Linked DNA regions of Canis lupus familiaris. The protein of the gene in region 1 binds, or shares a complex with, the protein of each later gene. Links are inferred from orthologs where the notes say so. Each region holds a gene or a part of one and is shown in the gene's direction. Other genes may lie near its edges.

Region 1 (4,188 bases):
TTGAAAGTTCAGTTTGAGGTCCACCAAAGTGGATTAGAAGCCAACACAGGGTTGTGTCTGGGGGACCCATGGGGACCTCCAGCCAGTGAAGCCCTCTATCAATCTGGTATCCCCACAAGCCCTCAGAGACCCAGTCTGCTTTCCTTCCTGGGCCTCAGCTGGACCAGTCAGGACAACACTGTGGTTAAAAGTTCATCCATCAGGGCTGGGACTTCCACACCTATATTATATATAATTTTTTTTTTGAGCATGTATCCTGGATTCTGAGCAGAGCATTTATAAAGTATAACAAGCAAGCCTTCTTGACTAATAGGCTTTCAAACAGTGACAAAAATTTAACATGTTGAGATAAGGGAAATACTTGATCTAACATTTTCACAAACTTTGGATTTACCTCTTGTACCTCACTTGGCTAGCTTCTGCTCCCAAGGGTCACATTTTGGCTGTATAAAGTTGGACAACTTCCTTAACCTCTCCAAGCTTTGGTTTTTCTCATCTGTGAAACAAGCATAATAAAACCACTTGAGAGATTTGTTAAATGAGGTAATTTATGTAAAATAATGTTCACAAGAAGAAAAGGAGTATGTCCCCTCCCCCCGGCCCCTCCCAACTTGATAATTAGAATTCAGCTTCTCTATCTGGCTGAAAATAGAGCCAGGTCCTTTTCACAGGAAAGATTGCAGGCAACAGATAGTTGGGGGCTACGTATTCTATCAAAAGTGGGGAAGGTCACAGGTTAGAGAAACCTCCATATTTTTTCATGGTAATCACGTTTGGAATTCCTGACCTCTCTTGAATGGTTCGTGGAAGACTATTTAGAGCAGTCTAACCTCCACCTAACATACTAATACAAACAACATACATACTGTGCTTCAGACACTGTGCTAAGCATCTCACGCAGTAAAAGTGTCTCATTTCTCGAAGCCATTTAGTTAGGTGCCATTATACTCCCCAGTTCGTTAATTAAGTTGCCCCCGGACCTACAGTTGGAAGTTTCGGAGCCCGAACTCCAGCTTAGGGACACCGTCCCTCCAGAGCCCGAGGTCTTGACGACGCTATGGTGCTTCTGGAGCTGCTGGGGACAGAGATCTTGTTTGGGTCGTGGTTTTAGCCTCCCGCCAGCTGCATCGTAGGTTGAAGGGGCAGACAGGTGGACAAACCCCTGCCGGTCGGGCCGGCAGGGGCAGGGGCAGGGGGAGGGGGAGGTGGAGGTGCAATCGGAGGCGCGCGCACCTGCGGAGAGCCAGCAAGCGCAGCCGGGGGTCAGCCCGGGGCGGGTCCCACAGCTCTCCACCACTTCCGGCCCCGGCCCCGCCCCCCCGGGGGCCCCCCGCCGTGCGCTTCGCGTTCAGGAAATTTGTCCCCAGCGCCGAGCCGTCTCCCCGCCCCCGCCGCTGCCATGGCGGCAGCTCCGCCGCTCTCCAAGGCCGAGTATCTGAAGCGTTACTTGTCTGGGGCAGGTGCCGGCGTCGACGGGGGCCCGGACTCCGGTCGCAAGCGTCGCAAAAAGCGGCCGAAGCCTGGCGGGGCCGGCGGCAGGGGGTGAGTGGGTGCTGGCGGGGCGGGGCGGGGCCTGCGGCGGCCGGCCGCCCCTCTGCTCCCCGGCTCCGCGCTCGGCCGGCGCGCCCCGCGGCCGTGCGCTCGCCGCCTCCGGCCGCCGGTAACTTTCTCAGGCTGTTCCCGCCCCGGTGGCTTTCCGGCCTCTCCCGTGGAGAGTGAGTGTCGCGCCGAGAGGAACGGCGGGGTCGCCCGGAGCCTGTGATGGCACGGCCGGGGGCTCGGCGGAGTCGGGCGCCGCGCGCACCTGGGGCCGAGTCCTGCGCGGGCGGGCGCCGACCGAGGCTCCAGGATTCCGCGGCGGAGCGGGGCCGCCGTGCCGCTCTCCCGGCGGGTCCGCGCAGGACCCCAGGACGTGACTTCCTTCGGAAGTAGTGCCGCCGCGGGTGTAGCTAATCAAGATGCGGTCACAGCACATCAGGACGGGCGCCAAATCCAGCGTGCCCGGGGACCCCTTAGGAAGGGGGGGATTTGGACGCAGAGATGGGGAAAGCCCGCCGTGTGAAGATGGAGGCCGGCCTTGGGCTGGGTTTACGCTGCCACTAGTAGCCAGAGTATGCGAGTACGCCTGCCGCTGCCAGCAGTTGGAACAGCCAAGGAATCCCCCCGCCCCCAGCCTTCCCAGTGGGCACTGCCTTGCAGACACCTTGATTTCAGACTTCAAGCCCCCAGGACCCTGAGAGAGTACAGTTCTGTTGCCTTAAGCCGCCTGGTTGGCGGCACTTTGTCAGGCAGCCCTGGGGAACCAATACGCCCAGCTCCAGAGACCAAATCCACTTCCTTTTTTTTTTTTTTTTTTTAATTTTTATTTATTTATGATAGTCACACACAGAGAGAGAGAGAGAGAGAGAGGCAGAGACACAGGCAGAGGGAGAAGCAGGCTCCATACACCGGGAGCCCAACGTGGGATTCGATCCCAGGTCTCCAGGATCGCGCCCTGGGCCAAAGGCGGGCGCCAAACCGCTGCGCCACCCAGGGATCCCCCAAATCCACTTCCTTTCGTGGGTTGCTTCTTGCCTGTTCTTGCCCTCTGTCTTCCTGCCTTCCGACTTGTGTCGATTGTTTGGACACAGACAGTGCCATGTAGAGAAAATAGCTTGCTTGACCTCTGGAGTAATACCAGTCAGAGTTTGAGTCCTGGCTGTGCCACGTTGTGGGCTCTACGGCCTTGGGCAACATACTGTCTCTCCAAGACTGTTACCGCAGCTTCCTTTCTTTATTTTTTAAAAGATTGATTATTTATTTATTTATTCACAAGAGACACAGAGAGAGGCAGAAACCCAGGCAGAGGGAGAAGCAGGCTCCATGCAGGGAGCCTGACGTGGGACTTGATCCCTGGACCCTGGAATCAGGCCCTAAGCTGAAGGCAGATGCTCAACCGCTGAGCCACCCAGGCGTCCCTATTTTTTTTTTTTTTTTAAGATTTTATTTATTTATTCATGAGAGACACAGAGAGGTAGAGAAAGAAGCAGAGAGAAGCAGGCTCCATGCAGGGAGCCTGATGTGGGACTCGATCCCAGCACTCCAGAATCATGGCCTGGGCGGAAGGGAGACACTCAACCACTAAGCCACCCAGGTGTCCCGGTTACTGCCTCTTTAAAAGGAGAGTAATACTATCGCTCTATGGTTGTGATTAGAGAGGTATAAAGTGATAACTGGCTGTTCAGATAGAATTGTTCACATCATGGTAGTCATTGTTAATTACTTGGACTCATGCATAGTTTATCTGTGTAACAAACATGTATTGAACACCTACTTCTTATGCCAGTTACTTCAGGGTGTTCAGGATATCACAGTGAATGAGAAGGCATAGTCCCTATTCTAGTGGGCCTTATAGTTTAACAGGGATCCTGGCTTTAAACAGCTAATTACACAACTAACTGATTTATTTTCTTTGTGATTAATGCAATGAAAGTATTCCAAGGATGCATAACAGAGGTTCTTAGTCATGGGAAGTAAGGGGAGAAGCTCAAGGAAGTTAAATGTATCCTAGGACTCTTAAGAGTTTCCCATTAAAGAAAGAAGAGTAGGCCAGGCCGAAGGAAGGAACTGAATATGTGAAAACTGATGTGGTAAGGTATTGGCTCATTCCAGGCACCAAAAGATGATTAGCAAGGTAGGGAACTGTGGAGGCAGTGGTACAGGTGAAGTTGGCCGTATAGGCAAAGACTGGACCTTGCAGAGTCTTGTAGCTTATACTAAATCCATAGATAACTGTTTGTGGGCTGTCACCCAAGAATGATTCTTCCCTTTTTGATCTTTTTATTTTTCATATTTAGAATGCGGATTGTGGATGATGATGTGAGCTGGACATCTATCTCTACCACTAAACCAGAAAAAGAGGAAGAAGATGATGATGGAGATTTGCCTGTGGTGTGTATCTTTTGAGGTTGTGAGGACTTTGAAATGCAAGACTCTCAATCTTGATTCTTAGTACAGGGTGGATTTATAAGGGGGAATGTTAGGGCCCAAAAGAGGTGACACTTTTCAAAGAGCTGTTTTATTTAATTAATTAATTTTTAAAAAAGATTTTATTTATTCATGAGAGACACAGAGAGAGAGGCAGAGAGATAGGCAGAGAGAGAAGCAGGCTCTCTCTGAGGAGCCTGATGGACTCAGGAGCCTGATACA
Region 2 (4,281 bases), on another chromosome or scaffold:
AAATTGTCCTTCCCTTTGGTTGTTCTTAATCTACTCTTTTGCTTCAGCTTCCTTTTAAAACTTCATGATGATCAAGATCCAGATGTAGCCCCATTTCTCTCATTTCACAGTTGCCTGAAGAATCCAGCCAGATAATGTTGCATGCTAGTTTACCACTTTGCAGTGGCTACTTCAACCCTACATCTAAGCAACCTCAGATTCCCAGGAGCAGATAAAACCTGTATGCAATCTGTCACTGTTTAGTTTTCATTGCCAAGATAATTCCATAAAGTTAATGAATAGCTGAGCTGGATGGGGTGGGGGCACAAACACAGAATGAATGAAGGGAAACTTTGATTGGTGGAGAGTCTCCTGCTTTTGTCAGGATGTGGGTACATGATGGGTCATTGAGGGTACAGTTGTCATAATCCCATCATCAAAGTACTTTTATGAAATGCTTAATTTCTGGGGCTCTAAGCTGGGCCTACACAGAGAACTACCCAGCTCTGGAACTTCACTTTTAGACCAGGCATGGTCTGATACCAGTTATTGACATGGACACATATGAGATGGATTCAAAACTTCAATATGGCTTATATCACACTGAAGGTATGCCACCATACCTTCTATGGGTTCCTCATTATTTCTGGAGTGAAATCTACCAAGCAAATATATTTTGTCTCCTTAATGATATCATTAGCTCCAGAGGGCAGAGGACTTCACCTTACATTCCTGTCTACAGATTTTACTGTACAAGACAAATATAGATCCTCAGTAAGGACTGAGTAAGTCAACAAGACCTGATAGGTAGAGGCAGAGGACATCCTTTGAGTTAACTAATTCCTTCGAATCTCAGTTTCTTCCTCGGTACAAGGAAGGTAATTGTATGTATAGACTCCATGGGGTTAGTTATGAGGAGGGAGGGCCAGTACAAGTGAATTGCTTAGCACACAACGTAGCATATGCTTAACTATTAGCTTTCTCATTATTTATTTCTGCCTCCTGCTTAAGTAGGAGCGAGACTATGGGAAAAGGGTGAGCTCTTAGACAAATCTGGGTATTCGATCAGACTGGTTAGTTGCCTATGCATTTGGATTTAAGGGAGAAAAAAATGATTTCCCCTCTCACATACCTTCTTCACTTTTCTGCTGCAATTTCTGATCAGGGATGGTTTGAGGGGTGTGTGTGCGTGAGCGACTGGCTGGGAGTGGAAGCCCGAAAGGGGATTTTCACTGAGGATAGAGCCAGGGACTACAGTTGCTAGAGCAGCACCTTTTTCAATCTCAATTCAGTAAACATTTATAGCTAGCCCAATCAATGCCAGGCGTCCTCCAGCAGCTGAGGGTCCTGTAATAAACCCGCTTCACACCCATGCCGCGTTTCACAGACGGACTAAGCGAGAAGCTAGATAGAGTCCCTGATAGAGCGAAACACGCAGAGCGAGCCAAGGGCCTCTCCGCGCTACTACGCAAGCGCAGCTCCCCAGCGCGCCCGTCTTTCCGGCGTGGCGCAGCGCGAACTCCGCGGAGTCCAATGGGCGCACGGCATCGGCGCTGCGCACGCGCGACACAGACTCACCCGGAAGTTAACGTCTCCGTGCTGAGCGCGAACCTGAGGAGATGAAGTAAGGCCTCAGTTTACCTCTTAAGAAGTAGGGACCGGCCGCGGGAAGTTGCCCACCGGGGCTGGGGTGGTAGAGAGCCTGCGGGGCCGAGGGGTGGGAGAGGCGCGGAGACTGGAGAACTAGCCCTCTAGTTCTGCTCTCCCTTACCTCTGGCCAGGCCGCACTTAACGGCCGCTTTTCCGCCTCTCTCTGCAGCCCTTTAACTAAAGTGAAGCTGATCAACGAGCTGAATGAGCGTGAGGTCCAGCTTGGGGTGGCAGATAAGGTGTCCTGGCACTCTGAGTACAAGGACAGCGCCTGGATCTTCCTGGGTGAGAGTCACATCTTTCTGCACTGCTCATTCTCTCCTGGTGCGCTTCCTAACCTTTCAGCATTCCCGCCTTTCCTTCCTTCTGACGTTCATCACGCACTTAGATTTCTTTCTTCTGGCTGCCCCGTAAATCCGTTTTCTGTATCTCTTTTCTCTTCCATTTCTAGTTTGCTCCTCCTGCCAAGTCAGTGACCATAATAGTTACCTTTGCCGTTCACTGTGGTCCTTGCCACTTGGTTTCAGAGACTGTTATCATACCGCGCCCCCCTGTTACATAGCTGAGGAGGTTAATGGACTTCCTTAAAGTCACATGGGTAATAAGTGGAACAACCAGAACTATGGGATTCTAGAACTGATGATCTTAACCACCATCTTGTATTACTGCTAGCGCCCCCCCCCCCGCCCTTTCTCCTTCCCTCAGAATTCATTTTCCTCATTTACTTAACTTCTGCCTTCTGTCCGTGGCCATATTGTCATCTCTGTATTCACTTGTGTCGCATCCAATAATATGAAAGTTTGGGCAAAGAAGTTATTGCACCAGATATTGTGCTAAGCACTTTATGTCCATTGTTTTATTTAATTCTTACAACAGTTCTGTGAAATAAGTACTAATATCCCCATTTTACAGATGAGGAACGAAAGATTTGCAGGGGAATTTATTTCCTATGAAATGCTGAACAGTTGTCTATAGACAACCAAAGATTCCTTAGTCTATGTGAGGTGGGGTAATATTTTCATATTTAAACTGATTTTGCTGTAATCTTAGCTGTGAGTTTGTGAGTTCCGGGCACCTGGGTGGATCAGTGGTTGAGCGTCTGCCTTTGGCTCAGGTTGTGATTTTGGAGTCCTGGTATTGAGTCCTGCATCAGGCTCCCATTTCTCCCTCAGCCTATGTCTCTGCCTCGCTTTCTGTGTCTCTCATGAATAAATAAATAAAATCTTAAAAAAAAGAGCAGGTGAGTTCAAGATATGTTTGTGGAAACAGAGTTTTATGCTGCAAACTGTCTGCTTTGCAAGGTTTTGGGTGTGGGGAGTATTTGGTTAGTGATGACACTGACCTTTCCACAAAGTTAATCACTCCTTTTGCTGCACTAGTGCCGCACCTTATATATGATTCTGTTAAATCGTCAGACTGTGAGTTCTTTGAGGGCAGGCCCTGTGGCTTACTCTTCTTTGCACCCACATTGCTGGGCCTAGTGCATGGTATGGAGGAGATGCTTGGTAAATGTTTGTGGAACTGAAATGTGGTTTTCTCTCCTAGGAGGGCTTCCTTATGAACTGACTGAAGGGGACATTATCTGTGTGTTCTCACAGTAAGTCCTTTTTCATTTCCTGCCTTCTGGGTCATCAAATTATGCTTGCTTAATACATTTTGTGGCCTCACAAAGTCTATTTGTTTTATTCTAGTCTGACTGGGCTCCCTGCATGGGGAGGGCTGGAGCTTCTGCTCTAGTCTAGATCAGCCCCAGGACATGGTTATAGAGCTCCCAATATGGAAAATCCAAGAAGTTAGATGATTTAGGAGGCTGTCTTGGGGATTCTGGTCTATTTTTATTGCTTTTTAAGTGAGGCTTGTTCAGCCTGTGCCTACACCAGAATAGACTTACTCACAGGAAACTACCATGTTGGACTCCTTGGGCTCCTGCAAACCCAAGGGTAATCCATGATCACAGGGCCCTTCTGGCCTACACCTGTGTGGTGTTGTGGGATTAGGGCAAAGCACAGAGGAATGGGAGAAAAAGCAAAAAGTTTAGGCAGTTTTCTTGTTTCTAGATGGGTATAAGATTAGTAAGCAGAACCGGTCTCTTTACCCAGAAGCTGAGAATTATGGGCTGATGAGGAACAAGGATGAATAGGTGAACCTTATATTCTTCATTCTGCCCATAGATGAAAGCAGCAGCATTGGGTGGGAGAGCATCTTGCACTGGTGGTGGCGGCTGGTGGGAGAGGGGCTGGGCACAACCCAGAGCTACACAGAGTGGTTAGACAGTCCATGGGGCCTTAGGGACCCTGAGGGCAGAGGACTGTGGCAGAAGGATTTGGGGAAGTAAACACTGCCAGCACACTGTGGCGGAGACATTGCCATGTCAGGGGATGGTGGGGCCGTCCAATAGGAAGAGGACCGTGGCTGAGTGGTGGAGCAGCTTATGGAGGAGAGGGCCATGGAAAAGAAATTGGGCAGTACCCATGAGAGGGCCATGAGAGAGGGCTTCGGCAGCCCACTCTGGCTTAGCGCCCAAGAGAGACAGAGGCTGCTTTCTCTGACTTCTGGGCAGCTGGAAGTTTACAGCAGGTGCAGCCTGTAGTTTCCACCCCTTATGATACCTCTGTCTGGTCCAGCCTTCATAGGGGCTGTTTTTGTCTTATT
Region 3 (2,542 bases), on another chromosome or scaffold:
ATCAGTGGGTCTCTATGAATCATAAAAAATATTTATTTATTTATTTTTATTTATTTTTTATTGGTGTTCAATTTACCAACATACAGAATAACCCCCAGTGCCCGTCACCCATTCACTCCCACCCCCCTGCCCTCCTCCCCTTCTACCACCCCTAGTTCGTTTCCCAGAGTTAGCAGTCTTTATGTTCTGTCTCCCTTTCTGATATTTCCCACACATTTCTTCTCCCTTCCCTTATATTCCCTTTCACTATTATTTATATTCCCCACATGAATGAGAACATATAATGTTTGTCCTTCTCCGACTAACTTACTTCACTCAGCCATAAAAAATATTTAAAAGCACTACTTGTAGTTATCCCTAGTCATCATCTCAATGTTATTGGGACTCAGATCACCATCTTATAGTTCAATATCCCAATCTTCTTCTTTTTTTAAAAAAGATTCCAATAAATAAATAAATAAATTAATTAATTAATTAAAAAAAAGATTCCATTCATTTATTCATGAGAGACACAGGAAGAGAGAGGCAGAGACACAGGCTGAGGGAGAAGCAGGCTCCATGCAGGGAGCCTGATGAGGGACTCGATCCCAGGTCTCCAGGATCACACCCTGGGCCGAAGGCAGGTGCTAAACTGCTGAGCCACCCAGGGATCCCCAATATCCCTATTTTCTTAGATGTTCCCTTGAGGAAGGGGATCTGCATGTCTTAGAGGTGCTGGACTAGTGCCCTGTGAGTTTCTTGGAACTCTGAAAGTCTATAATCTCTACCAACTCCTCAGTTACTGCCTTTCATGATATGTTTAACTAATCAGGAAAGGGACAAGGAGCATAGACTGCAGGAGCCAGACAGACTAGTGTATTAATTTTCTGTAGCTGGGTAACAAATAACCATACACTTAGTGGCTTGAACACATACTCATTATCTCACGGTTTCTGTGGGCAGGCATTTAGGGATGGCCAAGCTTGGTGCTATGCTACAGGGCCACACAAGATTGTAATGAAGGTGTCAGCCAGGACAGAGTTCTCATCTGCAGGAGCCAATTCTACATAGGGACTATAATAACTTGGATGTGTAGATTTATGTATTTCATCAAATTTGGAAAGATCTGCTCACTATGTTTTCAAATATTCTTTCTGCCCCTTTCTCTTTCTTCTCTTATTCTGCAGCTCCAATCAGGTGTATGTAGGTACACAGGAAGGCATCCCATACATTTTTGTTTGTTTCTTAAGTTTCTCAAAGAGTGATCCTTAAGCCAGAAGCATTGACACCACCTCAGAAGTTGTTAGAAATATAAATTCTGGGGCACCTGGGTGGCTCAGTCAGTTGAGCATCTGATTCTTGGTTTTGGTTCAGGTCATGTTCTTGCAATCATGAAATTAAGTAAGCCCTGTGTTGGGGCTCCATGCTCAGTGGGGAGTCTGCTTTAGATTCTTTCTCCCTCTCCCTCCCACTCATGTGTTCTCTCTCTCTCAAATAAATAAATAAACAAATAAACAAATAAATAAATAAATCCTAAAAAAAAAAAAGAAATGTAAATTCTTAGGCCTTGTTGCAGATGTATTAAAGAAACTCTGGGGTCCGCTTCCACCATGGCGTACCGTGGCCAGGGCCAGAAAGTGCAGAAGGTGATGGTTCAGCCCATCAACCTCATCTTCAGATACTTGCAAAATAGATCTCGGATTCAGGTGTGGCTTTATGAGCAAATAAACATGCGGATAGAGGGCTGTATCATTGGTTTTGATGAGTACATGAGCCTTGTATTAGACGATGCCAAAGAGATTCATTCTAAAACAAAGTCAAGAAAACAACTGGGTCGGATCATGCTAAAAGGAGATAATATTACCCTGCTCCAAAGTGTCTCCAACTAGAATGAATGATCAGTGAAGTGAGAAATTCTTGAGAAGGCCACGTAGTTTGTTTTTTTAGATGTCCTTTGTTGGGAATATAGTTCTAAAACCCTTGTTCATATTGTTTTGATTACCTTTATGTTCTTACCAGAGGACAATAAATGCTGTGGGATTGTTTTTATTAAAAAAAAAAAAAAAAGAAAAAAAAAGAAACTCTGGGGATGAGGCCCAACAATCTGTGTGTGTGTGTGTGTGTGTGTGTGTGTACGTGCATGCGTGCATGTGTGTGTGTTTTAATTGAAGTTGATACACAATGTTATAGTAGTTTTAGGTGTACAACATAGTATTTGACAAGTCTACATATTATGCTATACTTACCGAAAGTGTAACTACCATCTGCCACCACACAACCCAATTACAATATCATTGATTGTATTCCCTACCCTGTACTTTTCATTCCCTTGACTTATTCATTCCATAACAAGAAGTCTGTACTTCTTACTCCCTTTTACCCATTTTGCCCATCCCCCTAAACCCCCTTTGACAACCACCAGTTTGTTCTCTGTATCTATGAGTCTGTTTCTGTTTTGTTTGTTCCTTCATTTTGTTTTTTTAGTTCCACACATAAGTGAAATCATATAGTATTTGTCTTTTTCTGTCTGAGTTGTTTCGTTCAGCATAATACCCTCTAGGGC

Evidence for each region. Proteins that work in one complex are often made in the same cells at the same time.
Region 2: BUD13 (region 1) and RBMX2 share a complex: the UniProt entries of both Homo sapiens proteins name them as parts of the activated spliceosome. The link is inferred for Canis lupus familiaris from reciprocal best matches to the Homo sapiens genes BUD13 and RBMX2.
Region 3: BUD13 (region 1) and small nuclear ribonucleoprotein E-like share a complex: the UniProt entries of both Homo sapiens proteins name them as parts of the minor spliceosome. The link is inferred for Canis lupus familiaris from reciprocal best matches to the Homo sapiens genes BUD13 and SNRPE.

The regions. Positions count from the first base shown.
Region 1 is NC_049226.1:16,817,190-16,821,377, forward strand, and holds the start of BUD13 (BUD13 homolog), read left to right. Parts: upstream 1-1,356; 5' UTR 1,357-1,399; coding exon 1,400-1,542; intron 1,543-3,836; coding exon 3,837-3,930; intron 3,931-4,188. UniProt on the Homo sapiens protein: Involved in pre-mRNA splicing as component of the activated spliceosome. As a component of the minor spliceosome, involved in the splicing of U12-type introns in pre-mRNAs.
Region 2 is NC_049260.1:102,430,469-102,434,749, forward strand, and holds the start of RBMX2 (RNA-binding motif protein, X-linked 2), read left to right. Parts: upstream 1-1,469; 5' UTR 1,470-1,598; coding exon 1,599-1,603; intron 1,604-1,798; coding exon 1,799-1,914; intron 1,915-3,174; coding exon 3,175-3,226; intron 3,227-4,281. UniProt on the Homo sapiens protein: Involved in pre-mRNA splicing as component of the activated spliceosome. As a component of the minor spliceosome, involved in the splicing of U12-type introns in pre-mRNAs.
Region 3 is NC_049222.1:93,812,875-93,815,416, forward strand, and holds small nuclear ribonucleoprotein E-like, read left to right. Parts: upstream 1-1,570; 5' UTR 1,571-1,589; coding exon 1,590-1,868; 3' UTR 1,869-2,030; downstream 2,031-2,542. UniProt on the Homo sapiens protein: Plays a role in pre-mRNA splicing as a core component of the spliceosomal U1, U2, U4 and U5 small nuclear ribonucleoproteins (snRNPs), the building blocks of the spliceosome.